Linked DNA regions of Nothobranchius furzeri. The protein of the gene in region 2 interacts with the protein of the main gene of each other region in a biochemical or structural test. Links are inferred from orthologs where the notes say so. Each region holds a gene or a part of one and is shown on either strand. Other genes may lie near its edges.

Evidence for each region.
Region 1: the proteins of rab31 (region 2) and eea1 form a complex in vitro, tested with the Homo sapiens proteins (2 studies listed by BioGRID). The link is inferred for Nothobranchius furzeri from reciprocal best matches to the Homo sapiens genes RAB31 and EEA1.

What each region holds. Positions count from the first base shown.
Region 1 is NC_091744.1:73,672,530-73,676,352, reverse strand, and holds part of eea1 (early endosome antigen 1), read right to left. Parts: coding exon 3,725-3,823; intron 3,621-3,724; coding exon 3,465-3,620; intron 2,320-3,464; coding exon 2,203-2,319; intron 1,473-2,202; coding exon 1,134-1,472; intron 974-1,133; coding exon 824-973; intron 480-823; coding exon 360-479; intron 269-359; coding exon 65-268; intron 1-64. UniProt on the Homo sapiens protein: Binds phospholipid vesicles containing phosphatidylinositol 3-phosphate and participates in endosomal trafficking.
Region 2 is NC_091751.1:42,851,391-42,855,672, reverse strand, and holds the start of rab31 (ras-related protein Rab-31), read right to left. Parts: upstream 2,992-4,282; 5' UTR 2,857-2,991; coding exon 2,821-2,856; intron 1,973-2,820; coding exon 1,893-1,972; intron 1,404-1,892; coding exon 1,322-1,403; intron 1-1,321. UniProt on the Homo sapiens protein: The small GTPases Rab are key regulators of intracellular membrane trafficking, from the formation of transport vesicles to their fusion with membranes.

The DNA.
Region 1 (3,823 bases), on a different chromosome or scaffold from region 2:
AGTTTAGTCATCAGCATCAGGTTTAGTAAACGACGGGGCAGAGAGTGTGTGTGCGCGCATCCACCTGTTCCTGCAGTGCATGGTTCTTCTCTTTGAGCTGGTTAAGGACAGCCGATTCTCCCTCCCCAGCCTGGATTTTGGCACATAAGTCCTCTCTCTCAACTTCCAGCTGACTCACAATATCCTTACTCTTCTGAAGCAGAGCTTCCAGGTTCTGGATCTTCTGGTCTTTATCGCCGATCTGACGCAACACCTGCTCCAGGTCGTTCTAAAGCGCACATCAAAACCACATTGACATCTGTCCCAACAATCACCGGGGTGGAGAGGAAGCAGCTCAGAAGATGGAGTGAAGAGGCTACCTGTGCCTCCCGGAGTTTCCCGTTGGTGTTTTGCTGCAGTGCCTGCAGCTCCTGGTGCTGCTGCTTGGCTTTCTCCAGCTGGTGCTGCAGGTCTGTGTTCTTACTGGAGCTCTCCTTCAGCTGAGGAAAAAAAACACCAGCATCATTTTAGATTGCTGCAATAGACATTTTTACTTATGATCTAAAAAGATGGCAGATTTATTTTATTTTCAAACACCCAGAATAACATTTCTTCTGCTGATAATAATAAAAATGAAATCCGAACAAAAGTTTAGGCTTTTTGTAATTTCATGCTGTTAAGGTTATAAAATCTGAGCATGAAAATCTAAATCCTGGCCTTTGCTGAGCCCTCTGTGCTTTAAAATACCTAAAATGCTTCAAACAAAAACACAAATCATGTATACAACATCTTTTCTATGACATTAAATCCGTTGCAGGTGTTAGGAGTGAATGTTAATTCTGACTTGTTCTTCAGCACGGGAAAGTCTAAGCTGCAGGTCTGCTGCTTGCTGCTCTCGATCCTTCAGTTTCTCTCCTGACAGCTGCCTCTGCTCCTTCAGACGACCCTGCAGCTCGCCCACCTGCCTCTCTGCTTCCAGGAGTTTGGTGTGCAGCTGAAAGAGCGGGTAAAAAAAAGGGAGACAGCATCAAACTGATCTTTACACTCGTATCATGTGTGTGTGTGTGTGTGTGTGTGTGTGTGTGTGTGTGTGTGTGTGTGTGTGTGTGTGTGTGTGTGTGTGTGTGTGTGTCTCAGCAGGTGACCGTCCTCACCTGACCGATCTCCGTCTGCTGCTGAGCACCTTGGCTTTCCTTTTCTTCCCTCTGCTGTTCCAGTTGTTTCCTCTCCACCTTCAGCTCAGCGTTCTTCACCTCCAGCTCACTGATCTCATTCTTCAGCTTGGCCACCTCCTCAGTCCTCTCTGTGAGCTCAGTCTGGGCCTTCTGAAGAGAGGTTTCTGTCCCCGTGGCCCGGGCCTGGAGCTCCTGAACCTCAGACTCCCTCTCCCTCAGGCTATCTTGGACTCCCTTCTTTGCAGCTTTCTCAGCTCCCAGACGCTCCTGCAGATCTTGATATTCCTTCTCTTTACACACGAGCTTTTCACACAGACTCTGGGAGAAGAGAGGGCTTGAGATCAACCGGGGTTAAATGGGTGGAAGATGAGAAAATGTGGCATTTGACGAGACATTAATCATCTGTCTTTTGTCATTTAAAACAGCTGCGATGAGCCATGGGAAGCCACCGATGGAAAAGAACACTCAGCCGTCAACAGTCAGGAATAAGCATCACTCCGACAGCACAGATCCCAACAGGACACGCAGAGCTGGTCTGAGCTTTTACAGGCAGCAGGGTGATAAAACAGTAACGTGCTGTTAATGACACAGCCAGCTGCTCACGATACCTGCCCTCCACTTTAACACGCTTCTTCAGAGATGCTTTATTCTTCTCATTCATTCAATCTGTCAGTCGTTTTCCTACTGTCGAGAGATAAGCAGCTGCATCATAACGACACTGGAGATCCAGAGCTGGAGTCTAATCAGGGAGGCATCTATGACTCTGCGCTCCCCGTTTCCTGTACCTGGCTGCGATTGTGTTTCACTGTGACTGACAGAGGAGGCGGCGCAGCACCCCCCCCCCCCTGCTGGTTTAATAATAGTGCTGACCATAATATTTATCAACAAGCAGCTGTTGCCAGAGATGACCAATGACAGCGAGGAATTGTGAAGCTGAGCAACAAAAGAAGCCTGAGATGCTGCTGCAGTAAAGGCAAATCTGCTACGTGCTTGAGATGTCACAGTGTGTGTGTGTGTGTGTGTGTGTGTGTGTGTGTGTGTGTGTTACCTGACATTGTTGCTGCAGGTTATTCAGATTGCTCTGCAGCTGGTGGATCTGTTGTGTGTAGACGGCCACTTCCTGTGGACCTTTTTCCAGCTCTGCTTTGAGTTGGGAGATTGTCTTCTGCAAACCCGCAAACACGTCATTTAGACCAATTCTACAAATATTTATTCAGAAAATGGAGTTAAAACTGTAAAAAAATATTGTGAAAAGACCGCACGTTCACAAAAACGCACAAAAAATAAGTTACACACATTTTCAAAACGGAACATCTGAAAAGATTCTGATTTAATTGTGGGATGAATTAGAATGGAGATGTTTTACGTCCAGTTTTTGAATCTTGAATATTTTGAGTGTTGCAGAGAGAAAGTAGAAGTGTGAGAGAAGCAGGAGGAGGGGGAGGACACAAGGACAAAGGTAAGTAAGGAGACAACAAACTGCAGGAGAGGGGCTGAAAGAACAACATGGCAAAGACAACTTCACTCTGACAATTATGAAAAAATAAAATGAGGCTTTCTTCTTTGTCTAATTTCAGAAACAGATTATTTACAAATCAAAAACAAAAAAATGAAAGGCCTAGTGTTCATGTCGTAGCAGATCCTCTACAGTAAAATCATCTAATGTTGATAAATTAAGTTTATTTAAAATTCATTAAATCATGTTAATAATATGCACAATTATCAGTTAGCACTCCGAGTGTGTTAAGGATGAGATTCACCTACGAACACCCAGTTTCAGCTCAATATGTCTAAAATTAAAAGGGTTAAATACAATTTAGTTTGCTAGCGTTGGATCATCTGTGGTGTTTTTTCTTTTGCTTTACTAAATGACCCACTCCAACATTTTAGCTCGTCCACAAGATGCTGTTTCCACAAACAGCGCAGTCCCAGCTACTAACCCTTCATGTTAATCATCAGTGAGAAAAGAAATTTTACTAAATCCAGAAAAACTGGTTCTGTTGTGTGTAAAAAACAGAAAGTTGTTCTTCTAAAGATCATTTGAAGACAAAGATTTACATCCTGAAGCTACGTGGTGATAAAAATACTCCTCTCCTCTAGGATCCAGGGAACAAGACTGAATTATTCATCAGGATTTAATTAATAAAAGAACAACTCCAAAAGGGATATAACTACAGAAAACTAAACGACCTCATAGCTGTTTCTGATAAAGAAACAGATAACTTCACCATCCTGAAAGGTGAAGTGATGTCAGACTGGGCAAACAATAGAGGAAAACTGAAAGTATTTTCTATAAGAGAGTCTCCTAACCTCTGAGGTAGCGTAGTTAGCCTGTAGCTCAGCACAATGGTTTCTGAGGCGTTTGGACTCCTCCTCCTTCTCACGAGTTGTATGGTCCATCAGAGTTTGCACCTGAACCAGCTCCTTCTGCAGAACCTCCACATCCTCCACTCCCGGCCGCTGCAGCTAGGGGGCAGCATGGAGGCACAGCGTTAACCTGGTTCCTAAAAACTAGATCCTAAAGAATTTATGCGAAAAATGTCCTGTAAACTCTAAAGAGCAACTTGTACCAGTTCTGTTTGGAGTCTCTCGTTCTCCTGCTTCCCTTTTTGCAGATGTTCACTCAACTTAGCAAGCCTCTGATCAGCAGCTTCCCTCAGGCTTTTCTC
Region 2 (4,282 bases):
TTCCGCATGGAGTTTGCATGTTCTCCCTGTGCATGCGTGGGTTCTCTCCAGGTGCTCCGGCTTCCTCCCACAGTCCAAAAAAATGACTGTTAGGTTAATTGGTCTAAATTGTACTTAGGTGCGAGTGTGTGTGCATGGTTGTTTGTCTCTGTGTGTCTGTGTTGTCCTGCGATAGACTGGCTCTCTGTCCAGGGTGTACCCCGCCTACTTGCCCGTTGACTGCTGGAGATAGGCACCAGCCCCCCCACCCCCACCCCCGCGTGCGACCCTGCGTGGACAAAGCGGGTTCAGAAGATGGATGGGTGGATGAATACATTTTTGATTTATTGCCCAGCCGTATCTAGAGGACTAGTTGATTGTCCCGTGTCGCTGTAACGGACTGGTGACTTGTTCAGTGTGTGCCCCTCCTCTTAGCAGTAAACGCTGCAGACGGGGCGAAAATGTGATGTTTGTAGCCAATTTCACAAGTCATTTTATTTCTGCACAAGTTTTGGGTTTATTACCATTTGTTTTAATATGAGGAAGAGTTCCAGTAAAACAGTTTCTGCACAAACATCCATCATCTTTTCCCTTCATTGACATCCACGTATGCAAAACAAACATAAGCTCTTGGGTGAAATCTCACACTACATCGCCATAACAACTCTAGTCAACACCATTATTAAAACTAAAACTCAACATTTCTGTCTTAGACCTCAGTAAGACCTAAAGACAGAGGTCTCCAGATATTGTTTTCACACACATCCAGGAAATGCTTGAACTAGTTTTTCCATGCAGTAAGCAAATTTTGCAAGTCTTAGGTAACTCCCCATTTATCCACCCTACCCCCCCAACCATCCCCAACAGAGCACTAAACCATCCATCTAATGAATCTCCAAGACATCTAGAATATTCTCTTCTTTTGAGTGTAATAACGTACATAAAAGCAAACACATTGCAACTTTATCTAATTATTTTGGATATTTTTGTTGCATAAAACCAAAAATGATAGAAAATGCATGAAGAAAAGTCCTAAAACTCAATATTAGAATGTTAAGAGCACACCAACAGCCACAGCCCCAGAAACATGGATCTAGGGAGAACTTTTCTTAAGTGTTTTCTGCAACTTTACTTTTTCGCTACTTGTTAAAAACCAAAGAAGAAATTTAAGTGAGCAGCAATCAAAACGTATCCAAACTCTCAGATAAGACTTGATGTATTTGATGCATCTCCTCATCTTCAAACTCAGTTAACAATAACACTGAGTGTTGAGTGGCTCTGGTTCAAAACGTGATGGAAAATCAGTTGAAAAACATGATTCATGGAGTCATGTGTTACTCACCCGTTCCTGTCCGGCCGTGTCCCAGATTAGAAATTTATGTAGCTCATTTCCACACGGTACCGTCTTAGTCAGGAATGATGCTCTGCAGACGCATTTCACAAAGTTGCTTACACAGCACTGTCTTAGTTAGCAGACATTTTAATAATTGTGTAAATAACTGTGTGATGATGAATCTGGGTGACTTTAAAGGCTGTAAACCATCATAAAAAGAAGATTAAACTGGTTTAAATGGTTAAAAACATTTATCAGTCTAATTGCGTATTAATTTTTATGGGGGGTTTGATTTAAAACATTAACAATTGCACCTAAGAAATATTTTAATTACAACTCCTGCAATTATGGTGTATAATTTTCCAAAGAGATTATTTTAAAATAACTATTTCTGGAATAAATTTGCCAATAAGGGATCAAACTGATCTACTGAATGACTTTTTTCTGTCATCAAAAGTAAACATGTCACTTTTTCTCAGCCTTGATTAAAGTATTGATCGTTTGAACCTCAAAGTTCATGTTTATGCACAACATTTCCAGGTTTGTTTCCTGCTTTTAGGCTCTGATGATTCATACTCACCCTATGGTCGGGCTTATGTTGTGATCAAAATGATCTTGGACAAATCTGCAAACAATGCTGGATTTACCAACTCCAGTGTCCTGAAAAGAAAAGAGTCACACATAAGTCACATGCAAGCAATCTATGGTCACTGAACCCAGCTGATTGTGCGACTGCATGATGATTACAAGCTCAGATGGTCGAAAAACACTCAGTTAGCGCATTTATACTGATAGTAAATTTAACTAACATTATAAAGGGGTGTATCATTATTGTTAACCAAATCTATACTGTGTTCCATGATCCATCTCTTTTTTTAGTTACACAAGACAAACATCAGCCTTATATCTTGCTTTAAAAATGGTTTAAATATGTGTGATCTCCTATAATGAGATGTTTAGCTCATTTGGAGCATTAACTCTATTATTAAGGCCTGTGATTGCACTCAAGAGGCCTGATTGACGCGATGAGGCTCTAAAACGTACTAACTTTTGCCTCTAGGTGTTATTAAAGTGCCGTTTCCAAGGGCTAACCTAAGCACTTCCTGTCAAAGAGTCAAAAGATCGCAGACGCAGCAGGAAAGCTAACGGCTGGCGCGTGAAGCGGTCAGTCAGAAGATGACGTAATGGGTGATAATTTTCAAAAGCAACAAAAATGGGACCACACATTAAAGTGAAATAAAACAATCCGGTAAAATTAATGGGGGAAAATATCCAATTTAAAAGAAATGCGGCGCAACTCGATTAATCACATGTTGTTGTTTTTTTGTTTGTTTTTTCACAAACAAGCTAGCAACAAGTTTTACGAAGATAACGAAGGAAAAGCAACAACTAAGTTCTGAGATCAAGTTGTTAACGTGAAAAATGGTTTGGTTTAGTTCCACCACTTTGCGGTACGCTGAAGGAATGTATAGCCCCAGATAATTTCAACAAAAACGTCTTCTACTTACCCCTAAAAGACAAACTTTGAGCTCCCTTATCGCCATGGCAAGTCCTGAAAGTGTCTAAATCATTAATTATGTGTACGACTTAAATCATAATCTTTGTCTCGTCATGTTTGTCAGTGCTTGTTTTTTTTCCTCCCTTTCTTGGATAAAAGGGAAACCCAGCCCCTGAGACCGACAGGCTGACCATAAAATCGGAATTCTGGCTGTCCGTGAAGTCAGAAAATATTGCTTCCGGCGTGAATTTCAAAATAAAACTCACATGACGCGCATGTTTTACTTGCTTCACAAAAGACAGTGGAAAATATTAGCTGGTGTGTTACAAATTTATAAAGAAAATGTAATCTAACATGTATTGCATATGTAATGCATGCACATTTATAGTAGCAGTCAAACTCTTGTTTTGACGCATTACCTTGTTTGGATTTCAGATTAGAATAATTTAAATTAGTGAAAGGAACGTCCATGTAAATTAATCTGAATAATTTATAATTATCTGTATTCAGTCAGTGAAAAGTGAGACAAACATTTTTCAGAACGTAAAAATGTAGATCCAGATGGAGAGCTTAGGAGCTCAGAATATCCTGATAATAAAATAAATAAAAATACATGAAACATTGTATGATAAAACTTGTGATGAGTGGGTATCATTTGTAAATACATGTAAATTATTTAATTAATTGGTATTAGCTTGCAGTAAGATTTTGGGCATTTTTGCGTTTATTTCTCATTTGGCACCAGTTTACCAATTAAGTTAACTCAATTACATTTTAATGAAATTATTTAACAGTCATTGATTTGTTTTTCTGTTTTTTATCTGACTTGACAGGAATGTTTGAAAAACAACAAAGCACCAAAGAAGTTCTGAATAATTTGCACTCCTTCAGAATAAAATAGCAGACCTCATGAGGCAGAGATTTAGTTGACACTTTATTCTTCACAGCATTAGTCCATCTGCAACAATCTGCTACAAAAGCTAAAAAAAAATATGAAAATAAACTCATGAGAAGCCTATCAGCCTAATCTGATGCATATTTGTTTCAGTCACAGGATTAATAATGCTGAATCATGAATCCAGATGAGATTAAATCGACGTGGCTGTGACCAAAACAAACCAATTGTCCCCAATAATAATATTAAAAAACCAAGAGCTCAAAATGCATTTAGAATGTTACAGTAATGTACAGCAAAGAACGACATTAAACAATGACAGTCTTCTGCATAAATCCACTTTGAAATTACCTGTAACTATGATTACTTTCACACGAGAGAAACCTAAAAAACAGAACTCAAATACACGACCAAAATCTGCAGGGGGGTTCTGCAAATTCTAGATGTGAAAACAAATGGTTAAATTAACATTCAACAGAAAAAGAATGCAACTCTCTACTTTTCTTTGTTTGCACATAAAGATGCAGAGAAAACAGAAAAGAAATTTGCGCTCCGTCTAGATTTTTGCAGTTTTTTT